Oryzias latipes: one gene and its partner. The protein of the gene in region 1 binds, or shares a complex with, the protein of each later gene. Links are inferred from orthologs where the notes say so. Each region holds a gene or a part of one and is shown on either strand. Other genes may lie near its edges. The genes, in order: ik and prpf38a.

Region 1 (4,583 bases):
CTTTTTAGAAATAACTGACCAATAACTGGGCCAAAATTATTCTTCTGATTTATCAGTAGTTCTCCATGACACATTTGCACAAAACTTTATTGAAATTCTAAAAATGTTGAAAAAACATAATTTCGCGACTACACTGTTTCCATCAAATCATAAATATACGAATAAACAAAACTAACTCACTCGATAAGTCATTCCAAGACATGGTTATAGATGTGAACATTACTTTGATTTATAACAGATACAGTCACATTTCTACCACGGCACTGGCGCTCATCATCATCTATCAAAGGAGACGTTGATATCTTATCCAGGCCATGGAGTGACGAGCTCCTTACTTGACTACGGATGAAGACATTTTGTGAAATGGTGGTTTGTGATTTTACAGAGGAGCAGTGGATCCAACACTAACAAATGACGAGCTCAACTTTTGATGATCTCTGATGCTGTTGGACTTCTTGTGGCGCCTACTGTACAGTGTCCAATGCAGCCAGTTCCTACCAAGATGCACATTGCCATTACTATTTGAGTCATATAATTAGAAAAAATTGTTTCCATTGCATTTTTCCTAAATATTTAAGTTTCGATTCACCTCAAAAGCCCAAATATTTTTTCATTAAATGTGAGTTTTTTTCAATTGTGTTTCCATTAGACACATTTGTTATCGTAAATCTAAATTGCACAATTTCATTCATTGTCAATGGAAGCTGGAGTCCCCGGAGAAAACCCACGCATGCATGGGGAGAACATGCAAACTACATGCAGAAAATGGAAAATTCTTGTAGTCTTTCTACAAAGAGAAATAAGACATGATAAAAAATATCTAATGAAGTATTAATAATAACAATAATAATGTATTTATCTGCGCTCTTCCAGACGCTCAAAGTTCTTACAATTATTCTTTCCCTCCTCATTCATACCTGGTGATGGTAAGCTACTGATGTAGCCACAACTGCTCTGGGGCAGAGGTGGCAAATCTATAAACACATGATGGAGAACATAAATCTGCCTTTTGTAAAAAATGGTTTAAAAAATGGTGAAATCTCCAACCCAACCAATCTAGTAAGTTCAGTTCTGCTGTGTTTCTGCAACAGTTTATCCACAGAAACTGGTGGATTATGGGATATTTCAGTCAGAGACAATCCTTCCCTTCTAATCGGAAATTCAAACAAACCTCCACGGACAGAACCTCCAGTGGGTCCTGGAGAGCCTTTAGCTGCAGAGGCTCTCCTGACCAGCAGGGGTCAGTGTAGTGTTTCGGTAGAGTCTTACACAAGCTGGTTTGTCAATATAGTTTTCTAAGCGGAATTTTTATGTATACGTTGGCTCTTATACTTGAAGCATTTAATCCTTTAAACTTCGTGATAATTAAAGGGGGAAAAGCAGTAGAGTTGACAAATTAGTTGGTTCTAAACGTTGACTATTTCATCCGTATTTTAGCTAACTGTAGTGTGTAGAACGCCCGGCAGATGGCGCTGGCGTACTTACGACGCTGCAAACAAAGATGCTGTTCTGTAGTAAATATATATATATAATATGTATAAGACCAATATTTTGCTTATGAACAATGTGTATGCAAGCATGTAAGGAGGTGCATATGTATACTTTCTCTTTGAGTAAAAGAGATTCCCCTCCTCAGTCACATTTCCTCTCCCTCCAGCCCGGCAGGGGACGATAGAGCATCTGCAGTGAACCTGTAGCCTTTTTCCAAACCGGACGGAAGCAGCAGCTTTGCGGAACAGTTGGGAAAAACAAGGACGAAAGTCCGCAGAAAAAAGGAACAGTAGCCAGATTAGACTGCTAACTTTGAGCGAACCGGGCCGGACCTGAGTCCCGTCTTCCTACAGGACAGAAGCAGTTGTCCGTAAAGATGCCTGAGAGTAAGTCAAAGCTGAGTGTTAGCATGCTAGCTAGCCTTTAGCAGCGATGGGAAAACATCCGGTTAATACTGTGTAAAGAAAATAAACTCCACGATTCCTCAGCGCGGGGTCCCGGTCCGGACATTTCAATGTAGACGTATCACGAACTAAAATGACCACTAAGATCCGGGTATCTTTTTTGCGTTTCGGAAAATGCTTAACAACTACATAAAACACAAACACAGTTTTTCTTTACTGATAACTCACTAATGATTGGCGTTGAAAATATTACTAGAGCTCATTCCAGATTCTTAAGCATTGTGTTTTACGGCTTTAATTCAACGAGATTTATGTGAATTACACTACCACTGGTAGGGGTCTTGTTTTGGGGACAGCCGGGCAATCTCCCTCTTTTTGCATTCATCATCCACCTCAGCACAACATAAACACCCGCCTGAGCACAGATGTCAGCTCACCTTTGCACAATAGTATGCGTGACAGAATGAAATGCTTTACATGTGTTGGTTTGTGTGCATGTGTACGTGTAAACTGTAGTTGTGTTAAGTACATGTTGACATTATTGTATTTTTGGAGCCAACATGTATGTTTGTGACACTTGAGTATGTGTGTGGACAGGCGCCGCCCCTTTTGACTAACATTTACATCAGACAATAATGATGATAATCCTCCAGCATCTTGTTGCTTTATGATTGTTTCCCCCACCACCACCTATGTTTTCGTCATCCATATTACCTTAACTCTCTCTCTACTCAGGTGTTGTTTAATATAAAAACATCTCCCAAACGAGCTGGTCTTCCACAGATACCAGTAGACGTCAGTATTAAATAGTGGAGCAGTTTAATTCACTTTGGTTGAGGGGTCAAATGACTTTCTACAGCTTTACTCCACGTGAAGTTCAAGTGACTGTTAGCTTGGGTGAATTGTTTTTTAGGTAAAATTGACCCTTTATCCATCTGCTCACTACCATCCTTTATGTTGCAGCTGAGAGTTACTCCAACCCCCTGGCCCCTGAGGGCCACGAAGTGGACGACCACAGAAGTGCTGCTCAGTGAGTTTCCTCCACCCTTAAACTACCTTGTGCTGCTGACTGCACGTGTTGTCCAACTCTGTGAACACTGATCTGCATCCTCAGGTCCAAACTGACCAATGATGACTTCAGAAAGTTGCTCATGACGCCACGGAGTGCACCTGCAACTGCCCCGCCCACCAAGTCCAGACACCATGAGTGAGTAAAGGATCAGGTGTTGTTCTGTTCTTCCTACAGACACACTCACCTGTGTTTCTTCTAGGATGCCCAAAGACTACAATGAAGATGAGGACCCTGCAGCACGAAGGAGGAAAAAGAAGAGGTGAGCAGCCACACTGTAGACCAGGGGTCGGGAACCTATGGCTCGCGAGCCATATATGGCTCTTTTGATGGTCACATGTAGCTCGCAGACAAATCTTTAATTATACTTTTTTTTTTTCATTAGTCCAGTCCTTCTCGGGCGCGATGCGATGCCGTAGTAGCGGTGCTTGGAGAGAAAACTATCAGTTTACTATTATCTATTATTTCACAGAGTTTGCACCAGCCGGAAACCTGTGAATTGACGTGCCTAAAACTGCGCGTTCCCGTCTCTGAGAATGAGCGCGCATTAGCGGGGACGGGATGTGTGAGGAAGAAAGCAGAGAGTGGGGGGGGGGGCACGGCCAGAAGGTGAATCGCGCAGGGATTGTAAAAACGTAAAACCCGCTGCCCGTCACTCACTGCAGTGTGAGTGTGTGTTTAACTCCGTGTCTGCATGTGATCAGTCTGTCTCACATCTAAAGAACATTCAGACCTACGATCACGTTTAAAGTCTCAACGCCTGCATGAAGCAGAAACTCCCCACATAACCAGACTAGACCATCAGCAAAACTACTACGAGAAATACTCATCATTTATTAGCAACAGGATATCAATGTTATTCAAAATAATCCACAGACTTATTGTACTTTAAAAATGTTGAAATTACATTAAATGCACACATTTATTTGTATATTTAGATTTAAACATATTGTCGCGGACAGAGTTTAACTTGGCTGTTGGGCCGCGTTAAAAGTTCTGGAGGAGTTCACTAAACGCATCATGCAGAGATCTGATTGGCTCTCGGTTCTGTCACTCAGCCTGTTGTTAGGTAGTTTGGACCAATGGGGTTCAGCTATGGGCCAAATAAGGGAAATGGGCGGGCTGGAGCGGGAGTAGGGGAATACAAAGTTGGGAGAAGCGCTCTCGTCTCGGCGGGAGAGATTCAGGAGTTGCTGAATTAATTGTACGGCGTTTGTTGCGGTCTATAGTAACCAGAATAAAGAACTTTAAAAGAGGTTAAGTCTCCGTGCCTCAGTTGGGAAAGGGACACTACATTATTGTATGTCTCTTTTGAAATTAGATTTAAAAATATGTGGCGTTTATGGCTCTCTCGGCCAAAAAGGTTCCCGACCCCTGCTGTAGACGAATGAGGAGGAAGGCTGGAACTGTGTTCAGTTTGGTTGTAAGACCGTTTCCTCACTTTGACTCCCCTGTCTGCTCACTTGATCCATCATCTGTAATTTATCACGAGTATTGATGATCGATGCTTGTCCACCTGCAGCTACTATGCTAAACTGCGACAGCAGGAGATGGAGCGAGAGCGCGAGCTTGCTGAGAAGTACCGTGACCGAGCGCGAGAGAGGCGGGACGGCGTCAAC
Region 2 (3,347 bases), on another chromosome or scaffold:
TGATGCAGAGTTTGAGCTGATGCACGTCGACGAGTTCATAGATGAACTTCTTCACGCAGAGAGAGTGTGTGACATCATCCTTCCTCGACTTCAGGTGGGTAACTTCCCAGAAGCCCCCTTTGACTCATAATTGGTTGTACAGTAATGTACAACTATCAGTTGTAGATTTAGAATGTCATACTTGTTTTATCTTTTAAATAGTGCATTTTAAATTTGTAATCTTTAAAAGAAAAAAACTGTCAGTTATACATTTTATTGAAGCTACTGGACCAGTTTTTTTTGGGGGGGGTGTCTATATTTTCCGAAAGCTCTGTAGTCTGTCTCAAATTTATGTTTTAGTTCATGGGGAAAGCATTGGATAGAAATGAAATTAGGGCAAATAGTTTTTCTACACAGTTACCGAGAAATGTGTCTGAAAGAGGAATTTTTTTGTGTTTTTATATTTACTTTAATCGGTTTCAAATCATATTCGTAACCATTTGGATTTTGTTTTTCATTAAAAGGCTTACACCATTCAAAATCAGGTTTTTGAGCTTTTAAGTGTATTGTAATGTTTATTTCTCACTATAAACCCCAAAGCGGTGTTTTGATCCGTTTACGCATTTCTGGGTATTCCTCTAAAAATCTGCATTCTGAGCACCGGCGCCTCCTAACCCACGAAAACGAGCGGGTCCTCACATTGTGACATCATTAAGTGGAGAACAGTCGAAGGGGCAGGAAGAGTCTGCACTGCCAGCACCGCCCCCAGGCTAACACACAAACAATAAATTAAAAGATAAAATAATCAAACATTGATTAAAAATAAACATCAATGCTACTTGCACCTCACGCTTCCCAGCCTGATTTCTCTCTATTAAAATGCGAGCACTAACCTTTGAAATGTGTTTCCTTTATTATTTTGTAATAAATTATTTTGTTGTCATCATTTTTGTGGTTCATTGCAATACATCGTGTCCCCGTTTGTAATTCTTTGCGGACTTTGGACCTCGTCGTTTCTTCACCAAACAAGTGAAGACTCAATGTGTAGTAATGGCGCTTGTGTGTCATGCCGTATGTCCCGTGACGGCCAATCCAGTAACAAATAACAATGAACAAAGATGTAACAACAGTTTTGTCTTTGAGAATTTTTGAGTAAAAACAAACAAGTGACCCCTTTCCTCCATAAAGTCATCGTATCCTTTCCTGTGTGTCACAGAGGAGGCAGGTCCTGGAGGAGGCAGAGATGCTGGACCCTCGGGTCAGCGCTTTGGAGGAAGACCTGGATGAAGTGGAAAGCAGTGAGGAAGAAGATGAGGAGGACGAAAAGGTAACGGCCTTTGATGATGTGTTGATCTCTTGGTTTGGCCGAATATCATTGCAGGAGTTATAACTCCGTGTTTGCTTTCCGTGCCCACAGCCAGAGCGACTGCACTCCCCCGAACCTCACAGGCGGAGTTACCGTGACAACGACAGACCTCGCCGCTCACCGTCGCCACGTTACAGACGCAGCCGCTCACCCAGACGGTGGGTGTTGTCTCAGATCTTATGTCGTTCATGTACAGTGCTCAGCATAAATGAGGACACCCCACTACATTTGTCCGAAAACCTTCAGTGTTCTTTTGGAATTAACATTTTTCTACACAGGTGGACCATTGATTGCAAACCAGATATTTTAAGTTGCACACAAAAACGTGTGTTTTTGTTTTTTGACCTAACAAATTAGGTCACGCCCACGTTGTAAAAAGGAGTACACCCCAGTCAGAGTCTTAGGAGAAAAGCCAAACTTAAGACTACAGAATTCTAATTATCAGGCATTCAACCACAAGTGAGTCTACTGATTCATTTAAGACGTGTACAGCACAGAGGTGGCTAGAAAAGAGCATTTAACCAAAGAAAAGCCTGTCCTTTCTCAGATATTGTGACATTTCTTTTCCATGGGTAGCTATCGGAGACAGCATGAAATGGGAAGGGCTTTTTGGATCGTAATCTAAAAATTTAAGAAAGATGGAAGTGCAACCATCTTACAGAGACGTCCAGGCCGTCAACAGAAGCTAACATCTGAACAGGAGCGTCTTCTGATGAGAAAGGTTGAAGAAAATCGCCACTGTAGTTCACTGCAGTTAGCTAAAGCAGTAGAACGCCAAACTGGAGTGACCGTTTCCCGTGACACCATCCGGCGCACGCTGCAGAGGAATGGCACGCATGGTTATTGTCCACGAAAGAAGCCTTTCCCAAAGCCCGTGCACAAAAAAGCACGTCTAGAATTAGCTAAAAAAGATAAAGGCCTCAATACTCTGAAGTGATGAGACAAAGATCCCCCTTTTTGGAACTAATGGTTTTAAAACTATGGTGTTGCTGAAGTGAGAATTTCAAAGAAAAATGCATGGTGCCTACAGTGAAACATGGTGGTGGCAGTGTGCTGATGTGGGGCTGCTGGTGTCGGGGAGCTGCATTTCATTGATGGCATCATGAACTCAACAATGTACTGCTCTATACTAAAGGAGAAGATGCTGCCATCACTTTATGCACTTGGTCAAGGAGCACTTTTCCAACACAACAATGATCCAAAACACACTCCTGAAGCTACTGCTGCATTTCGGAAGAACAGGGTGAAGGTGATTGGATGGCCAACAGTGTTAGAAATAAGGGGGAAAAAATGGTTGTCCGAGGCAAGTAAACTTGGTTGTCCTCCCCAATTTTTGGTTTTCCTTCGATACCAATGAATTCAACAGCAACTAAACCTACTCAGATGTCAGTACTTACATCTTTATTTCTTCTATACATCTAATATTAACTGCCTCTTATGATGGACATTTAAAAAACTCTTTAAAATTAAAAACAAACATTTTACTAAATACTGAAGCATCTGGTTACACAAAGTATTGCCAAAAACTTGAAACCAATATCTTTATAACTAGTATCTTTACACAGATTTAAATATATTGGTTATTTTTTTCTTTGGTTTTTGATAATTGTTCCTTAAAGAATATAAAATACCAAAACTGTTGTAAAAAATTTAGAATATTATATCAATCCCATGGAAAAAGTTTTTTTTTCCAGCTCATGTCAGTCTGTTCTGTTATGAGTGAAAGTTATAGTGTTTATGAATGTGTTTTAAATCTTTTTGCGTGTTTTTGGAGACCTCTAGCGGTCGCGCCAGGTACTGTTGTTCAACACTTCTATTTGAAAAATCTTTATTGAAAAGTGCACATGTAGAAACAGAAAGGATTCGTTAGCATGATGCATGCACTTCGTTTGTCGGTGGAAAGAATTAGCTGCATACGTCTCAATTCAGAGGTTACCAAAAACTAACCCGTGAAACTTGAAAAATAGTCGAAAAATACCAAAATGTTGAATAAAAGACCAGG

Evidence for each region.
Region 2: ik (region 1) and prpf38a share a complex: the UniProt entries of both Homo sapiens proteins name them as parts of the spliceosome B complex. The link is inferred for Oryzias latipes from reciprocal best matches to the Homo sapiens genes IK and PRPF38A.

Annotation. Positions count from the first base shown.
Region 1 is NC_019872.2:23,309,822-23,314,404, reverse strand, and holds the start of ik (protein Red), read left to right. Parts: upstream 1-1,662; 5' UTR 1,663-1,867; coding exon 1,868-1,877; intron 1,878-2,858; coding exon 2,859-2,925; intron 2,926-3,009; coding exon 3,010-3,102; intron 3,103-3,166; coding exon 3,167-3,226; intron 3,227-4,486; coding exon 4,487-4,583. UniProt on the Homo sapiens protein: Involved in pre-mRNA splicing as a component of the spliceosome. Auxiliary spliceosomal protein that regulates selection of alternative splice sites in a small set of target pre-mRNA species. Required for normal mitotic cell cycle progression.
Region 2 is NC_019862.2:23,723,133-23,726,479, reverse strand, and holds part of prpf38a (pre-mRNA-splicing factor 38A), read left to right. Parts: intron 1-8; coding exon 9-94; intron 95-1,195; coding exon 1,196-1,306; intron 1,307-1,396; coding exon 1,397-1,503; intron 1,504-3,347. UniProt on the Homo sapiens protein: Involved in pre-mRNA splicing as a component of the spliceosome.